3 linked regions of the Oryzias latipes genome follow. The protein of the gene in region 3 purifies or fractionates together with the protein of the main gene of each other region. This does not show direct contact. Links are inferred from orthologs where the notes say so. Each region holds a gene or a part of one and is shown on either strand. Other genes may lie near its edges.

The links. Proteins that work in one complex are often made in the same cells at the same time.
Region 1: the proteins of hsf1 (region 3) and bag3 purify together in Homo sapiens (affinity purification with mass spectrometry; 3 studies listed by BioGRID and IntAct, with this or other methods). This does not show direct contact. The link is inferred for Oryzias latipes from reciprocal best matches to the Homo sapiens genes HSF1 and BAG3.
Region 2: the proteins of hsf1 (region 3) and heterogeneous nuclear ribonucleoprotein D0-like purify together in Homo sapiens (affinity purification with mass spectrometry; 3 studies listed by BioGRID, with this or other methods). This does not show direct contact. The link is inferred for Oryzias latipes from reciprocal best matches to the Homo sapiens genes HSF1 and HNRNPD.

The regions. Positions count from the first base shown.
Region 1 is NC_019873.2:29,858,979-29,863,140, reverse strand, and holds the start of bag3 (BAG family molecular chaperone regulator 3), read right to left. Parts: upstream 2,804-4,162; 5' UTR 2,727-2,803; coding exon 2,556-2,726; intron 1,297-2,555; coding exon 964-1,296; intron 700-963; coding exon 382-699; intron 302-381; coding exon 1-301. UniProt on the Homo sapiens protein: Co-chaperone and adapter protein that connects different classes of molecular chaperones including heat shock proteins 70 (HSP70s), e.g. HSPA1A/HSP70 or HSPA8/HSC70, and small heat shock proteins (sHSPs), e.g. HSPB8.
Region 2 is NC_019870.2:2,825,329-2,829,656, forward strand, and holds the start of heterogeneous nuclear ribonucleoprotein D0-like, read right to left. Parts: upstream 2,804-4,328; 5' UTR 2,443-2,803; coding exon 2,276-2,442; intron 1,184-2,275; coding exon 1,015-1,183; intron 356-1,014; coding exon 194-355; intron 1-193. Other genes in the region: enoph1 (enolase-phosphatase E1), read left to right, coding at 4,250-4,328. UniProt on the Homo sapiens protein: Binds with high affinity to RNA molecules that contain AU-rich elements (AREs) found within the 3'-UTR of many proto-oncogenes and cytokine mRNAs.
Region 3 is NC_019869.2:4,832,579-4,836,107, reverse strand, and holds part of hsf1 (heat shock factor protein 1), read right to left. Parts: intron 3,018-3,529; coding exon 2,909-3,017; intron 2,810-2,908; coding exon 2,673-2,809; intron 2,396-2,672; coding exon 2,271-2,395; intron 1,862-2,270; coding exon 1,786-1,861; intron 1,447-1,785; coding exon 1,385-1,446; intron 769-1,384; coding exon 702-768; intron 421-701; coding exon 302-420; intron 218-301; coding exon 39-217; intron 1-38. UniProt on the Homo sapiens protein: Functions as a stress-inducible and DNA-binding transcription factor that plays a central role in the transcriptional activation of the heat shock response (HSR), leading to the expression of a large class of molecular chaperones, heat shock proteins (HSPs), that protect cells from cellular insult damage.

The DNA.
Region 1 (4,162 bases), on a different chromosome or scaffold from region 3:
GCTCCAGCGAAGCCACCCGTCCCACGATCTGCTGAACCTTCGCCAAGCCCGGGTGAACGGCGCCCTGCTCCCCCTCTGCTCTGGTTGGGGGGGCTTCAGGGCCGGCTGGGTCCTGAACCTCTGCTTTTGGAGGGATTTGAACCGTGATGTCTGCAACGTGATGCTGCGGCTCCTGGGACTGAGGCTGCTCCAGATGTGGAGCGTCCACCTCTGTGAGCTGCGGTTGAGGAACCGGCAGGTTCTCTGCTTTCTGCAGCTCCTGCTCCACTTTCTGGGCCGGGTCTCTAGTGAGGAGGTTCTGCTGAGATCCAAATAACAAAGTTACAGTTTTATGTCAGAATCTGGGACACGCTGGCAAAAGGAAAAGACCGGAAAGCCCACCTGCGGTCTGTCCGCCTGCAGCTGCGATACCGTCGGGGACTGGCTCCTAAGCGAAGGTGGGAGGCGGGCAGACGCTGCGTCCCGGTGCTGCGGGAACAGCGACGTCGGGGAAGCACTTTCCCGAGAAGACGGCGCCGCAGAGTAGGCGGGCCGTTCGTCTGTCTGGAGGCGCTGGTAGGGGGCGCGCTGAGAGTAGACGGCGGGGTTTACCTGAGGCGGACCCCCTCCGCCCTCATGGATGACTGGAATAGGAATGTAACCGGCCTGGAGGCCGGTGCTGCCGGGTCGACACGGTTGGTGGTGTGTGGCGGTGTGCACCTGAGCAGCAACACAGTCAGAACGCAGTGAACACGTTTGGTCGCACAAATGTTACCCGCTTCAGCTCATGCTGGTCCCTCACTAGATCGCCGGCCACCTTTTTATAGCCAATTTCCATTTTACTTCACAGCTCGCTATGTTCTGCATCCTGATTGGCTGTTGACCTTGTCAATCAATCTCCTCCGTGTATGAAATGCGTTATTTTGAAAACTCCCACTGTAATCAAGGGTGGCTGTCAGTGAAGAACCCAAATGTTACCCGTACCTCTGTGGTTGGCGGCGTGGGCGTGCTGGCCCTCCCGGGCTCAGAGGAGCAGCTGTCTGAGGCCACGTGTAACGGCGATCTGGGCCTGCCGTGAAGTCCGGAGGCGTGCGAAGGAGCCTGACCTTCGTACCGGACACTCTGCGCTGTGCTTGGCTGGATGTACGTACAGCAGGGATGCGGCGGCTGCTGCCGCAGCTCTGCGCCCTCATGGAAGACGGGGATGGGGATGTAGCCGGGCCGCAGAATCGGGTGCTTCATCTCTCGGGTAAAGGTCTTCTGGGTCTCCTTAGGATGTTGTTCTGGAGGTATGTTGGGTCCGTTTGCTTCTCTACTCTGAAATATAGGCAGGGGAAAGAATTTAGAACCAAAAAACCTTTAAATTCATTAAAAAAACACACACAAATCTCAGGTAAAAACTTTAAGACTTCCACCACTGATTCATCAGTGATATTTTGTATAATTGTGTATTTGTGCTTCTATAGTGCTTTTCTAAAGCCTAAAGTGCTTTACACACTCTGATGGGGGCAGAGCAAGGCCAGAATCAAACCCGAGACCTCCTAATCCAGAGTCAACCGCTCTACCTCTGCACCACAGCTGCTCACAAAGCCCCCGTCTCATGCTGCCTCCATGTTTTCCAGGTGTGTTTTCCAAATATAACGGTGCTTTGGGCCGTTGACGTCAGGTGAGCGTCTGTGCAGACGTCTGTGTTCGCGACCGTCCGGCCGCAGGTGGAAATCCTCCACAGATCCACGTTCTGCCTTCTCCAGATCCACGTTCCGCTTTCTCCAGATCCACGTTCCGCTTTCTCCAGATCCACGTTCCGCCTTCTCCAGATCCACGTTCCGCTTTCTCCAGATCCACGTTCCGCCTTCTCCGTCCCGGGTCACATTTCCTCACCCAGCAGCCAAAAGTGACGCTGCCCTGCCAGAACAACCTCTGCATTCCAGCCCGGCAGCTGCTAGTTTGCCTCCTGAAGATGTGTCCCTGTGCCCAGCGCCCCCCCCCTCTGACCCCCAACACGCCAACATCACACAGGACAGCACTTTTAATCTGAAGGAGACCAACTGTTTGTCTTTTTGAATGTTCTTTATGGAACAGGTCACCGCTGTGAACTATTTTCCTCCATGAAAACCGATCAGACAGGAAGAGAATTTAAAAATAAAAGCACGAGATGTCAGGAAGAAGTGAAGGAGCAGAGAGCAACAGGTCTGATGCCCCCCCCCCCTCCCCAACCAAAGGAGACCAAAACCTGGAGGAAAACGGTCAACAATCGGTACCCCGTCGGTGTCTCCTCCGGAACGACCCTTTGCCCTCTGCCCGGGACCGCCCGCCCAGCAGCCCCCGCCACACACAGCAGCCCAGCCGCGGTCCCTGCTGGGAAAATGACCTTAATGTGAAAACGGCCCCCCCGTCCCGGCCGCCACATACTGCAGGGTGACTCATCGCGTAATAATAGTTATGATGACACGAGGACATGGCGGGACCGATCAGCCGTTACCACCGACAATACAATGTTCCGCAGAAACAACCAACGCAGATTCCCCGCGAGCGCTTCCCGCCGGGGAAGCAACTTTGCCCGCGCGCTCCTTCACCTTTGTCGCGACGTGTCTCGGGTCATTCCAGGTTGTGGTTCGGTTGTTGTGATCCACGAAAAACGGCCATCCGGTCTGGGGGTCGATTTTGACCTCCCAGCCGAGGGGCAGGGGGTCGCTGTCGTTGTTAGCCATGGTCGGCGCGGGGGCGCGTGTCTGCACGGCGCTCATGCTGCTCGCGCTCCGGTACTAAGACATTTTATACGGGCGGCGGGCGCTTTAAAGACTCCGTGGAGTGACGTGGGGAAGTGGGCTGGAAGCTTCTGGAAATAGCAGGGTTAACTGTGGGGGCGGCAAGGGGGGCGGGGGGGGGGGGGGGGGCGGAGCTGCAGATCCAAGCCGGAGACCCCCACGAGGGTTTACCGAGAGCAGCTCCACCTGAAACGTGACGACGGACCGGAGAGCAGCGGAGACGACTCCATCAGAGCCCAGACGGGGGGGGGGGGCTAAACATGTTCAAAAACACATGCGTGCCTCCGGCGAGGAACACATGTTCAATGAGATTTGGTCACTAAATAAACTAGTCCAATTCTATTTTATCATTAAAAATGAGTAAAAATCTACAAACAAAATGAAAAATCAAAAGGTTCAAACACAACCCCCCCACAAAGAGACAGCTGCTTATAACATTACTCTGTTTTCCAGTCCAGACAAACATTTGCTTTCATCAATATTTCATATTAAAGCCGCTTTTTGGAATCTAAATTCTAGTGGATACTATCTAATGATTATGTTAAACATATATGAAGGATCTAAACTTTAAAACAACTTTAAAAGATTTAAAAACATACAAAGTAGTCATTCTAAATATGTGCAGCAAACAGCTGTTTGATTATCAAACTGATATTTGAAACCATTGTTATTTATAAATAGTTTAAATTATGTCAAATGCTGCAAAACAGGAGAGTAAATTATTCATGTTGAAAAAATTAATAAATAATTAGGAGTGTGACCATTAATTTTACCTCAATCCAGATGGAATTTTCTAATATTGATTTAATTGATTTTGACACGAGTTTATAATGGTATAGGTCCACTCGATTGTACAAATAGAAATTAATTAATATTAATTAACTATTAATTAACTAGATTAATAGTTAAACTCTTAATAATAATAATAATAATGTCCTTTATAAAGATAAGGCTAAGCTTTCTGTGACTCTATAAGGTCATGTCAGAGACTGTTTATGACTCACCATATATACTGGGATAAACTGTTTATGGGTTAGAGTTATTGTAAAATAATCCATTCTCCCTTTACTATACTGTTGTTATAAGGATAATCACATTAGTGTCGTGTGAATTAATTTTTTTTCTTTACATTTAAATTTTACACTAAATACATATTTTATTTATCTTCATCACTCCAAGGCTGCTGCAATTACATTGTATCACCATATACAATGACAATAAAATTATTCTGATTAGTCAAAAATCTGTAAAAAGAACTCTACAGGCTACACAAAGCCTAACTTTATAAAGCACACAGCATCAAGTCCGGACATTACAGCAGAGTTTAAACAGAAGAATAAAAATAACTCGATAGCTGAACATTAAAACATGAAAGGTGTTTAAAAACAAGTTCACACGCGCTGACACCTGACCCG
Region 2 (4,328 bases), on a different chromosome or scaffold from region 3:
CCGAGAGTGCAACATTTAATGACGAGAATTAAAGAAAAATACAGAAGAATTACACAGTTTAGGGTCTGCAGTTACGCTTTAGGTCTCAAATTGGACGCAAAACTTCTGAAAGTTCATAAATAAAAAGAGTAAATCAAGTGTGTCAAAGGATAAAAACTGGTTTAAGCTGAGTAAAAAAAAAAACGACACGAACCTCTCCAAAGGCACCAAAGTACTCTCGGACCTTCTCCTCTGGGGTGTCTGGAGACAAACCACCAACGAAGACTTTCTTCACCGGCTCCTTGCTCTTCATGGCCTTGGCTTTTTTAGGGTCGATGACTTTTCCGTTGAGTTTATGTTCCTTCTGTGACGCCACCTTCAGAACAGAAAGCAGCAAATACATAAATAAAACTCACTAAATGACACAACAACAACAAGAAAAAAATCAAAGCTGATGTAATAATTAGAAACAGAATATAGAAGGAAAATGTTGAGGCGTGTCTCCACAGAAATCTGCTGCTCATAACAACATCAAACGTAAAGAAATATTTCAAAAGGCTGACGTGTTCACTCATGAGTTTGTCTGAAATCTTCTGAATTTATTTGATAAATAATATTATTGCTTTTTTTCGCATGAAGGAAATGACTAAGCCTCCAAAATAAAAGACGAACTTGGAGCTGAAACAGTTAAATGTTAAACTGCTTCACTGATTTATTGTCAATTCAGTGTGATTCGAACAAATATGTATTTATTTCAAAAAAGTTGTGAAACAAACTTTTTTTAAATGAGTTAAGTTAATCTGCACGTATCTGTTGATTTAAACTGAACAAAGGTGAACGTTTTATGAATAAATTCTTGAATGTTTGAAATTCTTGAAAAATAAAAAATAAAAAGCTGCTTTTTAAAAAAGTCAAAACAGAAGACAGTGCTTACAAGAAAATTTCCTTGATCTGAGAGACATTTGATTAGATCAGACTGTTTTTTTCAACACCACCCCAGTAAAAACAACATTTAGGTATTGAACAGAATCGAACCTTTTCCACACTTTCGGCGTCTTTGAAGAGCACAAAGCCGAAGCCCCTGGAGCGTCCGGTCATGGGGTCCAGCTTTAATGTGCAGTCTACCACCTCCCCGAACTTTGCAAAGTAATCTTTCAGGTCTTTCTTCGTGGTGTCCCAGCTCAGGCCTCCAACAAACATCTTCCTGCCAGCAAAAAAACATTTGGAAGGAGATCCGTGGTATAAGTTTGTGTTTGTTGTGACCCAAGTCCTAACTATAAGAATCTTTCCTCGGGTTGCTGCTGGCATTTTCATTCATAAAATATAAAACGAGTGAACAGTGTGATGAAAGAAGTGAAACAGAAAGAACTGAAGAAAGCCTCTTTGTTTTTATATGACCCCGAAGAACCCACAGGGTCAAATTTGGCAGCTTTTCCTTTTTTTTAATTTATGTTTTTATGTAAATTATGTTTTTCTATTGTGTTTTTTAGCCACAGTTAATTGCTGCTCCCCGAAACAAACAAAGAAACTTTCAAATGAACTTCAAAGACCCACTAATGAAAAAGGTGTTTGGGGTATTTTTAGCATGTTCTTGTAGCATTTTTCTGATGATGGACGACATTTATGGTAAAATTAAGCTTAGACTGTGTTTCTGAGTATTTCTTTATTCAAATCGTTGTGCATCAGGGGCAGACGAAGAGTTTGAAAAAGATCATATTTGTGATGTAGAAAAAACACGCTGGGCGGGGCCACAACCTCCCTGCTCCTCTCCATTCTAATGCATCCACTTACATACAGACTAATAGATCCATCTGCAAAGCTTTGTTTTCCTCGTCTGAGCTGGAATCTGGATCTGAATTTGTTGCCCCGCTAATGGTAGCTTGGGGTTGTGAGAAGCCATAAGCTAGCAGGAGGGCTTGTGAATAGAGACCTCTCAGTTAGGGTGATGGGGGGGGGGGGGGGTCTGTGCCAATGGTCCCGCCCACAATTTAGAGGTGAATTTCTAATAAACTCCCGCCGCTCTGCAGAAACTAAGTCTTACAAAAAGACAGGTTTTTTTTATTTAGCTAAAACGGTATAATCCTAATCAAAATAAACGCCAATACATTTTTGGAACTCACCAAACGTTGCCGCAAATATAAAACAATTTGAAAATAACTACAACAAATGTGCGTCCATGGATCAACAGTGCCGTGGATAACCGTGCAGGAGCTTTCCCGGTCATCCGAGCTGTATGTCCCAGAAGTCTCTCTGGGAGTATGTTTGTATGAAAGGCTCCCCGCGCGGATAAACTTACCCTTCATCTTCTTCGTTTTTGCTGGCGTCGATCCTTGATCCCTCGGCCTCGTCCCCCATCAGGCCGCCATCCCCCTGAGCTGACATGGGGTCGTCATTGTTAGCCTCTCCATCCTCCTCCATCCTCATCATACTCGGGTCTTCGCTAAATTCATAATCCTCAGACATCTTCACTTTTTTCTCGAAAAGATCAAATGCTAGTTCTAATGAAATGATTTTCGGAAAAAAAAAAATCAAAAGTAATTTTGAGCCAAAAAAAATTCGATTTATTTTAAGCTAACAGCCAAGATAGTTGCTAGCTGCTAACAGATAACAAATAACAAAAGCCGATGTTCAAAAACAGGACGAGGCTAGCTCAACTTATTCGAAGTTATCTCAAAATTTAAATAGATAAAGAAAACGCCTTGATCTCTAAATATAATTTTCTTTCAGTTCTAATAATTTTAAAGGATATTTTTTCATCCGATATTTTAGTTTTCTTGCCAGTCGTTTCTTGTTTGTCTACTTCTGCGAATCCCAAGTGAGCATTTGAGTGCAGAGCGCCACCTGCTGCAGCGGAGATGTAACACCAGGGTAATTTGTAAATAATTGAATATTTTACATTTTTTAAAAGGGACTTTATTCAAATGAATTGTTCTCTTATTAATAAATAAATAAAGAGATTTGTTGTTTTAGTTTTGAGCCTAATTTTCCAAGATCCAATTATCTTCATCTTAAAAATCTTTAGATACAGTTCTAAATCTAAATATGAAAGACTTTTAGTATTGGACCTTTTTTTCTCTCCAAAATAATGGAAATGGTTTTAGGAGAAACCAATCAATCAATCAATACATACATACATAAATAAATAAAAAGCATGACCAACTCTATATTTGATTGTTTTGTTTAAAAATGCTAGGCAACAAAAACAAAAATAAAATTCTGAAATTGAAATGAAAGGAAAGGAAAACTGCTCAGCAAACGAGCAACCAGAAGAAAAACTTTATCAAAATCAAAAATCATACTAACACTGACACTCATGATGGCGCATCAGGGACACCATCAAAGAAGAAAAAAAGACATATGTATGAAAATAAAGTCATACAATTATTAAATAAAGTTAAAAGTTAGGAGCATTAGTTTGTACAACATGAGAACAAAGTCATACAGTTATGAAGAAAAATCTAATTTGTGAGAAGAAAGTTGTACAATTGTGAAAAATAATTCAACAATTTTCATATATAATGATAAACAAAGGCTTCAAAAAGTTGTAAAAAAATATTACATTTAGCTTTTAAAATGTGCAAAAAAACAGTTTTATACCTGATTTATCAAGAAATCTGTTTTTGTAACTGTATTTTTATGAATTTATAACTTTTATTTGACAAAAGCATGAAAAAACGTAAGTGGTTTATCAAAAATAGATGGTAATACTTATTATTTCTTGCAAAAATTGTTCTAATGCAACATATTGTGGTCTGTATTCGAAAATCTAGTGTGCATCGATCTGGTGTTGCACACTGGTTTTTCGCAGAGACTTCTGGGAAATTTGTAGGGCACTTGATTTTGGAATTTAAATGTGAATATTGGGCCATTCGATTTCGGAATAGATGCGGACAAAATGGCAAACGCACTATAGTGAGTAGTCGTCTTGTAATTCAATAGTTTGGTACTCATCACCAATTTCTGGTTTCCCCACTAAAATAAGTTTTACGACTCAACAGCGCCATCTCCCGACGCGGAGGCTAAACTGACGATGCTGAACATGTGAGCTGGTTGTTGCTTTGTAATGGTTGTCGAGCTCATGTCACGGACAGGTTGTGTCAAACGTAACTGTTTGGATTTCGATCGGTGTTGATTTTTCTGTCTGGAGAAGCAGCGAGTATCGGACCGGACCGGACCGAATCGCCGCCTGGCTGGAATCCTGCGGTGCCGCCGCCCGCTGTCCTTTAAGCTCAGACCAGCTAACGTCTCCAGCTGCTTTTTGTGATCAACAATGGCCTCTGTCTCCATCCCTGCGTGCACTGGTGCTCTGCTGTTGGACATTGAAGGCACCACCACGCCGATCACATTCG
Region 3 (3,529 bases):
ATGTAGGAAAATCCAACTAAGTCTTGCACTCTGCTTGCCTGCTGGGGAGGGGGTGGCGGTAACTGCTGCTGGCTGTGCTTCTTCCTGAAGTATGGAGTTGATGAAGGTGGTGGGTGAAAAGGGGGTCTCCACATGCACTGGCTCTTCCTCGATAATGGGTATTTCCTCCACTTCCGGACTGGACGGCTCCTCCTTTATGTTAACAGATTCGTTCTCCCTATAAAGCAGAAGGGCTGGGATTAGAGACGCCTCACTGACCGCTGACTGATCATTTAAGGGAGGATGATCTGCAGGTGCTTACTTTGGGTTAATCCACTCACTGACAACGTCGTCTGAGGCAGAAGTGGCCAGCTCTGTTATGTCTGAGATGATTGGTCCAGAACTCAGAGCAGAGTCGGCTGAGAAGGGATTAGCTGCCGCCTGAAGAGGAAAAAGATGGAGCTTAAATAAGACTCACCCCACAGAAAACACATGATCGTCCGCTGTCTTCACATCTCCTTAGATAATAGTGTGAGAAAAAACTTTAGAAGTATACCAACGCAAGGTTAATATATTTTTAACCAACAAAACTGTTTTCAACTAAATCAAAACAAGAGATGCCCTCCATTAACCCCATGACCTCTGACCTGTTTCTGAGCATCAGGAGTGCCATGTTGTTCAGGTATGTGAGAGAACTCAGAGAGAAACGTAGGCTCTGTTACCTGCACGTATGGACGGCTGAACTTCGGTATGGAGTGAGTGGAGCTGGAGTCGTTCAGCATCAGAGGACTAAAGGTGGAGGGGAGAAAAGGTGAGTAAACAAACACAGCAAATGCAAAAACTGCACAAACTAAAAACATTTTTCGTCTTTTAGTAAATCCTTTTCTTCAACCTAATGTTTTGGTGTCTGAAAAACTTAAAATGCTTGAGAGGTTAAGTCCTATTCAAAGACTGTATATAAAAACTGGACTCAGTGACCCCCTCCCCCCTGGCGTTCCAAACAGGAAGTACCCACTGGCTCCAAAAAGCCAAAATCCTGTAGACTTGACATATTTTTTCTGCATTTCAAGTTACAAACCGACCAATCAGATGCCTTAAAATAAAGGTTTTTTTTGGTCTCACGTCTAATGTTTCAAGCGTCTGACAGATTCAAGTGATAGGGTTGTGGCCTTCCAAGAAAGTCACTCGTGATTGGCCAGAGTGGTTGCCATAGAAATGTTGGTTCAGACCAACTGGCTGGTTACCGACGACGTATGGCTCCAACATGGCGGCGTCCGTCTCACGAAAAAAAATGGTGACTGAATTGATTTAATTTTGTTGAAGACATTTTCTAAGGGTGACGCCACACTCACTCCCCTCCAGTTCTGATATACAGTCAATGGTCCCATTTCAGATTTAAACTTGCATTTTTCGCTTGACTCCCATGATCCTGTTGGTCTGGACAAGAGACACTAGAAACTGGATCAACTGCAGAGAGAGAGAGAGAAAAAATAGCATTGATGCAGCGAGGTGTATGCTAACGTGCTAGCATTGTGTTAAAAATCGTATGCACTGACTATTTACATTTCCCGCCATCAAAATTAACTGTAGTCTATACAAGGATGGGTGGATGTTCACAATGTAAACAAGGTTGCCAATCAGTGTTTGTGCACAGAAAGATGAAACACTCAGTTTTAACACAAAACGCACAACAACAACCACATTTTCTATTCAACGACAAATGCATGTAGCTCTAAACACGGCTGCTCCTCCACACTTCACGTACACGCCACCTCTACTCTGTGCTCCTTGATTACATGTTTGTACCTTGTTGACAACTTTCTGCTGCTGAGCATGTTTCTGCCTCAGACTGGCCACTTCCCTCCACAGAGCCTCGTTCTCACTGAAACACAGGAACATAGTTTACAGGTCAGGAGACTGACAACAAAGTGAGACCAAACAATGGGAGAATGTGGGGAGCAACGCAGTTTCAGGAAAAGACCACCACAACTCACAGTTTAAGACCTGCTCCCATCATCTTTTGATCAATTTTAAACACGTTCCCAGTGTTTATTTTTTTATTATTTTAGTTACACTGTTTTAAAGATAAAATCAAAGTTTACACTCTTTCCTGCTAGCTTACAGCCCCTGACACATCCAGCCTAACATTACTGGTGCAGTCAGAATGACGAGCAATATTGGAGCTATCCGGCTGTACAGTTTGGAGCGAGTTGCCAGAAAACAAAGACGTCCACCTGCAGGGGGGTGCATCAGAATGGAGCAGAGCTGGGAGCTTTTTTTTTGGTTCTTACTGTTTCATTGCGATAATCCTGGAGTCGATGGTTTCTTGTTTTCCCTTCATTGTCTGGACATCGTTCAGGATTTTGCTCACGTCATCAGCACAGAGTTTCACATCATCATGACGGACCGACGAGACCTGCAAGGGTCAGGTAAAAAGGGGGACTGTCACTGTGGACCAGGGGGCCAAGAAAAACTCCAGAATTCCCATTTTCACAAAGTTCAACTTTTTTTTTAAATCATTCTATTCATTTTTAGATTTCTATCCAGAATGTTTTTGATGTTAACCTACAATGAAGATTATGAGAATAATAAATGTGTGCATTTAAGATGAGAATAGGCTAAAAAAAACTTCTTTTATTGGATCCCAAAAGCCTAAAATCTGGCCTTGTTGGGGTGCTTTTGCAGGCACATACATTAGTGACTTTGCGTTTGATGTTTTCCAGAAGGTGTTCTTGTCCTCTGATGAAGAACGGATGCTGGAACTCTGTGTCGTCTTTTTCTGGTTTCACCAAACCGCCCTGCTCAATGTGCACAACCTTACGGAAACCATCTGGCCACAGACAGACACAGAACATCAAACAGCTTCTGTAATTCCAGCGTTTATCTGTATCCTCGGTTGAGGTGAGCAGAGTCGCCCGCTGGTACTCACACATGTTGAGCTGTCGGATGAAGCTGGCCATGTTGTTGTGCTTGAAGAACTTCGGCAAGACTTCTTTAGAGAACCGGCACTGATCGAACACATGGAAGCTGGTTCCATTCTGACACAGAACAAGACCACGAGTTATTAAAATGATTTAAATCATAAACTAGTGGTTTAAATATTCAAATGCCACGAACAGACAGATATTATTTCTACTCCAAATAGGCAGATTGTTAAAATAGTTCTTGCCATGTGGTGTCTACAGTCAGAGAGTCAGCGAGTTGAGATCCACTCACCAAACTCACCTGAAATCAAACTGACCACTCTGAGTCAGGTTTCCAGGAAGCGCAGCTCGGCACGGAAAAATCCCCAGTAGATTTAAAAACCCACTCTGATATAAATGGTGTCTTTGGTGTTTTTTAACATGTTTTCGTGGCATGGTTCTGATGATGGAGGATATTTTTTTTCGGAAAAGAAGCTTAAAATTGCGATTTCTGTGCATTTTTTCGCTGTGAAGCAGGATCAGACAACAAAATGCTGCTTGTAAAACAGAAAAACTTATTAAAGCTCTACGTTCACACTGCAGGGCTTAATGCTCAATCGGATTTTTTGGAAAAAATCAGATTTTTT